Drosophila melanogaster: one gene and its partners. The protein of the gene in region 1 interacts with the protein of each later gene in a pairwise test. Each region holds a gene or a part of one and is shown on either strand. Other genes may lie near its edges.

Region 1 (3,431 bases):
ATGACGATCTCCTGATCGATTTCAATGCCATCCTCGTAGCGCAGGACACCGGGCAATGTAATCTTGGCACCATAGCAAACGGCGTTGACCTGGAGAAAGATTGATGGTTGTTAGTTGATATCATAAGGGGGTCCTTTGCTAGAGGAAATGTCGACCGAATATTCTTTGTCGAGCGCGCAGGATAAGAGCGCTGCCCAACATACACACATCAGCAGCTTTGCTGTTCCCAATCATAGTCACAGGTGCCCGTGGGGATTGCAGGCACCTGCCGGCTTAATATCATGGGGTACTACTTCGCAAACGGCAACTGGATGTCAAACTTACCGAACTGTCCTTCATAATAATGCGCTTGTGGTTGACCAGCAGACCTTCTAGCGGCTTGATCACACGTCGCAGCATAGACTCGTCCTTGTGGTTTTCGTACAGCCACATGGCGTCCAAAACATCGTGCATGGTCACCATACCATCGCGCTCAGACTGAATGCCCGAGCGGACACGGCGGAGCTCCAGCATCTGGCCACCGACACCCAGTACGAGACCAAGATGGACGCACATGGTACGGATGTAGGAGCCGGCCTCGCAACTAACCCAAAAAACACCTGAGCACGTGAGTGGGCAGAATTGGAGGAGAGAAAAAGACGAGGTTTTAACAATTACATTGTGCATTTGCTGTGTTAGGCAAATACTGGTGTTTCACTGGCTGAAGCAGGCTGCACCTCTGCAGGATAAACTAATCCAGCAGCGACGCACCAACTCTGAGCGAGAATGGATAAACAAAACTTCTGACTTACCCATATTTCGGGTTTCATCGTAGTCCAACAGCTTGCTGTCGTAGACAGTACGAACGCGCAACTGACGCTTTACGGCGGAGATGAGTGGAGGTCTCTGGAAGAGGGCACCACGCAGCTTCTCCAGGCCCTGACGCACCTTGGCCACCGACTCCACGGCTCCGTGCAGCTTGAAGATGGCCACGTACTCCTTGCCGGCGCTCTGCTGGGACTTCACCAGACGGGTGGCCCTGTCAATACAAACAATCAGGCAACCTGTAGGAAAAAAAAACACGCGGCACACAATGAGGTTAGGTTTGTATGGCGGTAGGCGAGCACGCGCTTCACTTACCCGTGACTTTGGGATCCAGCGTGCCGGAGTGGCCTGTCTTCTCCACCTTGAGGATTTTCTTGATCCAGGCCACCACCTCGTGGGAGCTGGGGTTCGACGGCTTGTCCAGGTTGATGAAGCCAGTCTTCATGTACTCTTTGATGTCGCGGTTCAGGGGCGACGATCCGTGCGCCAGCGGAGTGTAGTGGTTGGAACGGATGTTCAACTTGTCGAAGTTCTTCAGGAGCAGCGGCCATTGCGAGGTGTCCAGCTCGGCGATCTTGGAGGAGGGCTTGATTTGGAAGTTGCCCTGCTTCTGCAGCGTGCCAATGTCATCGCCGTCCAAGGGCTCCTCCTTGATCTTCTTCTTTTTCTTCTCCTTGCGTACTTCTGCGGGCGCATAGTCCGTTTATTTGGGCACTCTTTTAATTCATCACTTGCCAGACTTACCCACGTCGGCCATTTTATCTACGTTTTCTGCTAAATCAACTAATAGACGGAGAGAAACCTCCGCACGTGTTGCGCGCTGCGAGAAAATGGACGAAAAACACGTGGAGTGCGCGGTCTATCGATAAGTGTGACTACACAGAAATGTATTTCATGAAGACATCGATACATAAATGGAAATCTTGCGATATGTCATCGTGAGCCGAATTCCTTATTACAATTTTGAATTAAAAATATGTATTATTCATAAACAAAATGAATTTAAAGGTATTTACTTTGACGTAAACATTTTTAATCCATTAAAGCATTATTTAATTGAAAAGATATGTTATGTAAAACTGATACACTGTTTATAGTACGGTGAAAATGTTATGTCCTTAGAATCCACTTGTTTTTGCGATGAAAAGTCATACTACCCTACTTTTTAACTGACGCGTGCAAGCTGATTGCATTTGGCGGGATTTTGAAAATCAGAAACTGCTGAGTAAAAAATATCGAAATATTGATAGTTCCAGGCCCAATCGATACTATCGCCAGTGATCTACCAGCTGTGTTTCCCAACCGGTTGTTTATTTTTCTAAACTCTTAAATTAAATTAAAGTAATGTCGAGGCGAGGACTCCTACTAATGGGCCAGTGCATGCCCTGCATCAAGCAGAACGCCTCCAAGATCCGCATTCGCCGAATGGAGCTGGACAAGAACCTGAATATGGTGTGCATAATATACATTAGATCTCGCCTCAGGAGATTTCACACAATTTCCCTTCTGCTCGCAGTACTTTAAGAAGGACGAGTTCTACTTCGCCCACGATCCGCAGAAGGTGTGCAAGACCGGGGACGTGGTCCTGATACGGGAACTGCCAGAGCGCCTCACCCGCCTCATCACGCACAACGTGGAAAAAGTGGTCTATCCGCTGGGTGACATAACGGACCCGCTCACTGGCAAGAAGGTGGTCGTGGGCAATTACCGCGAGGACATCGAGATGGCCAACCAGCTGTTCGGCAAGTCAGAGAAGGCCTTCGACTACGAGAAGGCACCGCCCCGCGGTCGCCTGGAGGGAACCAAGGACTTCACCCACGGGGAAACATACATCAAGTACCACGAGGATGGCAAGGATCAGCCGTTCGCCGTTTAGAGCTCTGCCGGTCGTTTATCTGTTAAGTTTCCCCTTTGTTTAATAGTAAAGTGCATTAATATGACGTACATATGTTTCTCGGTTTTCTTATAAAATGGTTAGGCCGACGAAAGAAGATATTTTTATAGGTTTTTGATTGCTTGAATTGAATTAAAAAGGCAGGTTTAAAAGATTTCTCTACATATTTTATTTTAATGGTCGATAGTTGTTTTTTTTTTTTTGCATTTATTGATGATTTGTTGTGTATACGTATAAATGTATGCATTTTCAACTTCCTCTCGCTGATCAACAGTTTTTGATTATTTAATTTTTGAATTTTCCTAATTCAAACGATTTTTCCGCGCCAGGTGCCAGGACACATCCGCAACACCGAAACGTGCTGCACACGCACATGGTTTTAGAGTTCAGATTCGGTCCGTGCCATAAATTAAGCTGAATACTAATCACAATCTCTTACGATCCTAAAGTTGTACTGGAGTATGGGGTTTGCCGGGTGAGCGTTGTCGTCGCACAGTTTTTGCTGCAACGAAAAGGAGGCTAGAGTCGCTGGATTTCGCGTTAATGCGTCCGGATAACGCACCTGCTCCAGGTCGTGGCTGGCGCGGAGCATAAACTCCCGTAGGAAGTAGCCGCGGGCGGGAAGATCCAGGGCCAGGCTCAGTTTGTTCTTGCCCTGCTGCTTGAGGATCTTCACCCCGCTGGTGGACTCGGCCTCGTCATCCTCGTTCAGCTGGCCGTTGGCACTCGGCTT
Region 2 (3,754 bases), 6.4 Mb from region 1:
ATGAAAAAATGGTTAAAATCTCTGTGAAGATATAGTGAATATGTGTAATAGTACCATAGTTCCGTAGGTAAGCACGCTATTCTTCGGCGCCACATATGTGCCATCGGGCAGCACTTGCTGGTTCTTCATCAGCATGTTGTTTAAAGGCACCCGTACGTTCTTCAGTCCCAAATAGCCATTGTTGACACCCTTCATGCCCAGCTTGGTACCAATATCTCCAATGTCGATGCCGGGCATGGGACGGTGAGTATCGGAATCCCTCAATTGGACAATAAAAGGAGCCAGACCACGGAACTCGCCCTTGGTGTAGAGTTGTGCCACCACAACCGCATGGTTAGCAGTGTGTCCCACTGCAAGTCCCAGATTTTATAACAATTTCAAAATATTAAGTGTTCAAGAAAACTCACATCCACCGGGCCACCACTTGTATGCACTGAGTGATGGAGTGTTTATAACAAACTCCTGGGTGCTGGCATCGTAGTCAGCCCTGGTCTCCAGACCGCGCAGGAAGGTTCCGTGTCCCAGTTCCGTTTGGGCATAGGTGCCAATGATTTCACAGTCCCAGGCCTTGCTCAGCCATTCCACCTGCTGATCCATCGTTCCCTGGCCCATGATGGTGGGCACGAACATCACGTAGTGCAGCGCAAGCGGATTGCCCTCCTTTAGAATAGCCGATCCCAAGGATCCACCAAGCAGAGCACTATAAGCACACAAATTACAACCTGAAGTACATTAAATATAAGGATTTCTTTACTTGTAAGTATCCACTCCATCCTCGCCATCAGCACGTAGCTTGCGGATCTTCTCTCCTATGATGCAGGCTTTGCGCAAGCTGTGCTCATAGAGCTCCTTGTGTGACAAATAGGAAATGGGCAAGTCGTCCTGAAGGGCTGGATCCTCCAAAAACAATTTCTCTGGAAAAATCATAAACGAAATTTAATGTAAATGAAGCCATAAGGAAAGGGATTTAATATTTTAGGAGGTGTCATTTAGATAAGCATTGTTGAATTTTGCAGCGTAATCATGAGTGGAAAGTATTCTTCGTTAATTCGCGGGAGTTACTGGGCATTGTCCATTTATGATGCCCTGAGCGACCGTGCAAATCTGTCAGATAAACCTATCAGCTAAACTAATTTCAAGTGGACCTGGAAATAGATGGTGGGTAGCTGCAAACATTCAAAGTACACAAGTAGTCGGATTGATCGCGATTCGCGCGAAGTTCAAAGATTAATAACTTATGAGCTGGCTAATAGGTGCTGATTAACTAGTAGCGGCTTGTTTATGCGGAATACATAATTAATGAACTTTGGGCCACGGCGTGCAGCAAAATCAACAAATCGCATGAATGAATGGACGGAGAAGAAGCGTATCAAAACAAAGAAGTTGACAGGATGTTTTGGATAATTTATCAGTGGCTGACATGGCTAGCATCAGAGTTTGTACCCTACAGATTAGCTATAAATGCGTTAAAGCCTAGCTTAATTGCCAAGTCATGCTTTTGGCACAATTTCTTGCATCCACTGTTGGGAAACGCGATTGCGCCAAGCTCAGATAAAGCTCTGAGCGACCGGTTAATGTGAATGTACATGTAGGTCTGTCGGGGTCACCGGAGAAGCTTGAAATCCGGTGTTTTTCCCTTCTAAGCTAACTCACCCAGGGCCTTCTTCTCCTTGAATCGCTCCTCGCCGCCGGCCCACAGAACGGAGAACTCCCGGGGATTGAAGGTGGCCGTGCTGCGTTCCTTCTGGAGATCGGGATTCACTGGTTTGGCTGGCATTTTGCTATGCGGCACAGTATTCAAGTCACGTAAACAGGTTATGGATTAACGAGCCACCGCAAAGCGTCCGTCTTCGTTGAATATCGCGTACTGACTGATTGTTGCTGGAAAGGCGAATTGCGCTCAGTGGTCAGTCAGTCGGTCACTCAAGTGCTGGTGGAGGAAATCCAGTGGAGGAGATTGAGATTATGGACTGCTGATCTGATCCAGCTATTCCGAATCTAATCATCGATGCCAGCTCTCGAACGACGTGAACTTTAACCGCGAAAATACACATGTAATAAGTTCGCTTTTGTGTTGAAATAGTCTGTAGCACAACCATTATTCTCACGCCATTGTTGTTGGGCTACATTTATGAGTAAATACACAAAATAAATACACTGCATGTAAAAAGTACTTGGGCGTTTTCTTTCAGTTTGTTTCTAATTTAAATAAGATTGCTTTCATAAGCTTCTTTGTTCGTATAATTTGTTTGCAAGTGAATAATGCAAATTCACTACATCTTTCTGCATAAATAACATCTTTAAAATGTCTCAAATTAGCCGTTTTAAAAAAAGTAGGGTATTTGAATTCCGCCTTAATTAATAGATTAATTTTGTTTTTAGCAGCTCTTTGTTTGTATTGTGACGAAATCAGCTGTTGAACAGGGCTGCAAAATACAAACAAGTACGGCAGCACTCGACAACTCCAGGGATACAGTCACCATAATCTTGGCGCCAATTCAAAAAAATTCAAAAATTCCAATTTTATTAAAAACATAGATATATTTGCTAGCTAAATGATCATGAGGTAACACCAATCTTTGGCCTTATAGCATAGGTTCAGGCTTGCACATACGGAAACACGTAAAATTAAATCACGATTTAATACACTTACTAGGTGGTAAATTCATTTGGCTTAGGTCAGAACATTATTTATAATATCCGCTTAAATGCCATGGGCATGGCTAGTGGCTATAGCTATGCCCCGCTGATGCTGCCCCATTCCAGAGTCATAGGAACAGCTGGCCGCTGGCTCCATTTGATGCACTTCCGCCGGATACCAGTGACTGTGAGATTCCGGCAACTGATGGTAACTTAGATCCGCCGAAACATGGGTTTCGCCTCGCGTAGTCTTCGGATAAGATTGCGTATGCAGGGTTTGCCAATCCATACGGGCGGATGAGGTGGTTGATGATGATGGGGCAAATGCCAAACTCCGGCTACTCTGGTGGAACTCAAAGGGCCAGCTCTGCAAGACAGTATAATGTGGAATGTGTGGATAAAACAGGCATAAATCATAGGAGTTGTGGAAACCGCAGGGGCTATATATGGAACAATATGACGACAACCCATCCCGAGACAGCGCCATTGTTTGTTTACGCAACTTTGATTGTTTTTAGTGCCCACCCCCGCCTCCACGTCTAGATCTACAATAACAGCCTCATTAACGGATCTATAAAAACATAAACAGCCAAACACTTGCGGACAAGAGACACTCATTTGTATGCCATACAATGAGGGATTGGAAATGGGATATAGGGATGCTAGGGCTAGCGAGCAAATAGCGAACCAATGGGTTGTTCCCAACAGATCATCTTGGGCGCGTGGATGGTATAAATTCGGATAGGGTCGGGACTCTCCGATCCGATCTGATTTGCCACCATATGGGCACAAGACGGAGCCGTATTTGCTGAATTTTTCACGCATTCGGTGTGTAAACAATTGCATCTATTTAGATAAGTTGTGCACGCCATGAATCTTGAGTGATAGATTGTGTAAACTCCAGCGGGAATGGCTGATGGATAAACACGGTTAGACAAATTTTAATTACAATAATCCGAGTGGGAAAACTACTGAGGATGACACTTTCCCTCGCATGTCATTCACTGTGTCGCTTCAAAGCATCAAGAGCATCTTTAAAAATAAAAAATAAAAGCAAAGACTAACTAGTGCCCCCCATCCAGATCCGCAGGTCTGCGTTACCATCTCCGTTCCC
Region 3 (3,754 bases), about 10 Mb from region 1:
AACATGTAATCCGCACAGAATATTATCTTTTGTAACAATTTCATATTTAAGTAAAAACTTGCTGACTCCTTGTGTCATCGGTTCTGAAGACTTGAAACAATTTGACAATGTAGAAAACAATATGTATATGCCCGACAAACTATTTTATACTTAAAAAAATTATCTAAATAATAAATTCTAAATTATCGGATTACAATTCAACTGTTTATATTTTTTTTTGTCTTGTGATTTGGATTGGATTTGGCTTAGGTTTTATTTGGGTAGGTTTTGGGTTTTGAATGCATTTCGAGTAAGGGTTTAGATAAGTATGATTCCATACCAAGTAGGCCTTTATAACGACTTCAGTGTCGGGCCTTAAGCTCTATGGCTTAGTACATTCGTTTTTCGTTACCGATTTCAAACAATTGAACTTGTAAAAATAAAAGTATTAAAGCTAACTAAAAATTTTAAGTATATACAACTGCCGCAGTAACGCAGGATACCAATAACCCATTGACGTAATGCATTCAGCCGGTAGGAGCAGTGGGCAAAGTGCGGGCTCAACACCCCGAGGTGGAGGACCCAACACCATCTCCGGGGCCACAGTGCGTTCCAAGTTAGCGGCACCTCTATCGACGCAGACGGCGGGAACACGGCGAACTGTTCACGGCGGAGCGGGCGATGGGGGAACCGATGCGGCTTGGAAGCAGACCGGTCGTCGCCTTGGCAAGCATAATCCACCTTCTCGGCTGGTCCAGCCCACGGTAGCCTCTTCGCTGAGGGCCAGCAGCAACAGGCAGACGGCCAAGCAGAAGTTCGAGAGAGCGAGAGGACATGAGAAGTCCAGATTAGTGGTGCCCTTGGCCAAGGACACCGAAACGGAAGTCAGGAAGCCAACGAAACAGCGTGTGATGTCGCAAGCGGCCAAACAGGCGGCACGGGATCGTCTCTGGCCCAGCAAACCGGCGGGCGTGGGTTTGAACTCGAATTTCCGCAAGAATAGGCAGCCAGTGCCAGAGGATTCCAATATTTTGCCGGATGTCGAGGAGGAGTCAGAATCGAAGGCGTCCAAGTCTCAGCAGCTACTGGAGACCGGCGTCCAGACGAATGAGTCTGAGATCCTCGATCATAAGCTAATCCTTGGCGAGGTGAAGATGGTATGCCCCTCCGCGCAGCTGGTCGATCAAATAGATCGGGAACGGCTCGAGCTTAAGGAGGAAAGAGAGCGACAATCATCGCGCAGGTTTGCTGCTCACGAGCAGCAGGAGGAACTGCATCTGGACGAACTGAAGGAGTTCTCGTTCCGGAATGCCGTGACCAAGAGGGCGCCCAAGAAGCCACCAACGCACCAGTACGCTCGCTATGATAATCAGTATCAGAACGTTTTCAAGTCCATGGACGATTTCTTCAGCCGGGTCCAAAACTCTATGCCCAAATCAGAGTCCGTGTCCACCATCCAGGATCGCATCAAGCGCAAGGAAGAGGAGCTGCTCAGGCTCTTCGACAACGTCGAGCTAAACGAATAATCTAAAAACTATAGGAAATTCTATATCAAATTGTCTGTGTCGTGCACGTAAAGTAGTAGTCCTTTTCAATTCAATGGTCATTTATGACTTTTAATGGGTGCTTGGGTTTTATGATATATGAGTGGTATGTTCTATAAAAAAAAAGAATTTTGGACTTCAAAACTGAGACTAACTGCCGATACAAATCAAGAATATATATATATATACGTTTAAGAACTGGTTATTTAGGTTATAACTTTGAGGCTTATTTTACTCCAACAACATTATATCGCCACTGTTTATGATCCAATAAAAGCCGTCTGAGCTAACTAATGGCTTGGAACCACACCTTTTGGGGAAAATTCAGCGTCAGCAAGTACACAGACATTAACTGAAGTCGTATTTAAATTGAGCTTAGCCAAGCGGCAATGGAGTGCCATACTAGCCAGGCCAGCACCAGCACCAGCACCAGCAGCTGACACTTTCTCTCTGGGCCGAAAGCGGGGTCAAGACGCTTTCATGACGGGCGGTTCTTCAGTCAACGCTGGCAACTGATCGCGCGAGCAATGGAAAATACGCCTCTCAAGTTTCCACACGAAATTCGCGATGTGGAGGAGTCCACCAATGCTGAGCTATTGGATCACTTCCATGGTATGTTTATAGCGCGCAAATGGCTTGTGATGCACCTAGTATATAAAAAATAAAAAAAAAAAAACAGGTGAGCGAACTGGCTTCGTTCAGGTCGGATCGGAGGGTTACTTCTTTCCGCACAAGTACAAGGACGAGGCCGAGCGGTACTACAACTTTGAGGCACGGCCGGATGACGTGTGGATAGCCACGGTGCCCAGATCGGGCACCACTTGGACGCAGGAGCTCATTTGGCTGGTGGCCAATGGGCTGGATTTTGAGCATGCCCAGGAGCGACCACTAACCGAACGCTTTCCATTCTTTGAGTGAGTGCTTGTCGCGCGATCCTATCTTAATTAAGTGAACTCCAACCGCCCTTAGATTTCCGCTCTTTGTGCATCCCAAAATTAAGGAAGAGCTGCAGGAGGAAAACCGAGACTCGGCTGAAGCTCTGGAGTTCATTGAGAAGATAGCTCGACCGGGTTACGAGGCTTTGAGCGAAATACCACGCTCGCAGCGACGGTTTATCAAAACGCATTTCCCCTTTTCTCTAATGCCGCCTAGTGTTCTCGAAAAGAAGTGCAAGGTGATCTATGTGGTTCGTGATCCCAAGGATGTTGCAGTTTCCTACTACCATTTGAACAGACTCTTCCGCACCCAAGGATACGTCGGAGATTTTGAGCGTTACTGGCATTATTTCCAAAACGGATTAAGTAAGTGATCCTTCGATGGAGTTGCCATCCTTAACCAACTATCTTTCAGATCCCTGGCTGCCCTATTACAGTCACGTTAAGGAGGCGCGGGAGCATGCCCATTTGTCCAATGTACTCTTTCTGCGCTACGAAGACATGTTGGCTGATCTGCCAGGTGCAATCAACAGCATAGCCAGCTTCTTAGAGTGTCCACCGAAACCCGAGGATATGGATAGGCTACTCGATCATCTGAGCATCAGAAGCTTCCGTGAGAACAAGTCCGTAAACATGCACGAAATGGCTTCCGTTGGCGTTCTCAACAAAGGAGAGGCAGGATTCGTGCGCAGCGGAGCCAAGACAGCGTATCAGCCGCAACAGGAGTTCGTGGAGAATCCGAAGCTTTTGAAGAGCGCCAACGAGTGGGTGGAACAGAATATTAAATCATTCAAGACCATATGAAATACCTGACTTTGTTGGCTATCTTTACTGGTGTTTTTCTTTTTTGGTTTTGAATTGAAACGGAACTAGACTATGACTAACGTATTTGCACATTGAAACTATCCACGCTCGCACTAGCGATCTGCTTGTGGATTTCGTTGACCTCCGCCTGGGTTAAGGTGCGCTCCATATGGCGATAAACAATGCGGAAGCACACGCTCGATTTCCCCGTTTTCGGGTGCTTAAACTTGTCCACCAGACTGATCTGTAAGAAAAGTAAAGTATATGAGAAATACTCGTAACATATGATACGTTTGGGATAGCTAAGACCAACCTGCTCCACCATATCACCAGCTACAGAGCGGACTAGATCGTAAAAGTCGTTCGGCGAGAAGCCGGCATCCACCTCAATGTCCTGGGGCAGCCAGAACGACAAGTCATTCGTGCACTGCGGATAGTGGGAGATGGGCTTGTACTTGGGCAGATTGTGCAGATCCTTTTCGCTAAACTGCG

The links.
Region 2: the proteins of mRpS17 (region 1) and ACOX1 interact in a two-hybrid assay, tested with the Drosophila melanogaster proteins (one large-scale study listed by BioGRID).
Region 3: the proteins of mRpS17 (region 1) and St4 interact in a two-hybrid assay, tested with the Drosophila melanogaster proteins (one large-scale study listed by BioGRID).

The regions. Positions count from the first base shown.
Region 1 is NT_033778.4:24,173,085-24,176,515, reverse strand, and holds mRpS17 (mitochondrial ribosomal protein S17), read left to right. Parts: upstream 1-2,074; 5' UTR 2,075-2,148; coding exon 2,149-2,256; intron 2,257-2,320; coding exon 2,321-2,680; 3' UTR 2,681-2,851; downstream 2,852-3,431. Other genes in the region: Nop60B (nucleolar protein at 60B), read right to left, coding at 1-89, 325-599, 792-1,043, 1,120-1,488, 1,549-1,561; CG3328 (uncharacterized protein), read right to left, coding at 3,120-3,200, 3,261-3,431.
Region 2 is NT_033778.4:17,759,289-17,763,042, reverse strand, and holds the start of ACOX1 (acyl-CoA oxidase 1), read right to left. Parts: upstream 2,104-3,754; 5' UTR 1,778-2,103; coding exon 1,654-1,777; intron 915-1,653; coding exon 755-914; intron 701-754; coding exon 408-700; intron 351-407; coding exon 55-350; intron 1-54. Other genes in the region: HLH54F, read right to left, coding at 2,705-3,007. UniProt on the Drosophila melanogaster protein: Catalyzes the desaturation of acyl-CoAs to 2-trans-enoyl-CoAs. First enzyme of the fatty acid beta-oxidation pathway.
Region 3 is NT_033778.4:13,969,424-13,973,177, reverse strand, and holds St4 (sulfotransferase 4), read left to right. Parts: upstream 1-1,914; 5' UTR 1,915-2,050; coding exon 2,051-2,135; intron 2,136-2,202; coding exon 2,203-2,437; intron 2,438-2,492; coding exon 2,493-2,824; intron 2,825-2,873; coding exon 2,874-3,262; 3' UTR 3,263-3,268; downstream 3,269-3,754. Other genes in the region: CG18568 (uncharacterized protein), read left to right, coding at 501-1,505; PheRS-m (Phenylalanyl-tRNA synthetase, mitochondrial), read right to left, coding at 3,339-3,506, 3,576-3,754.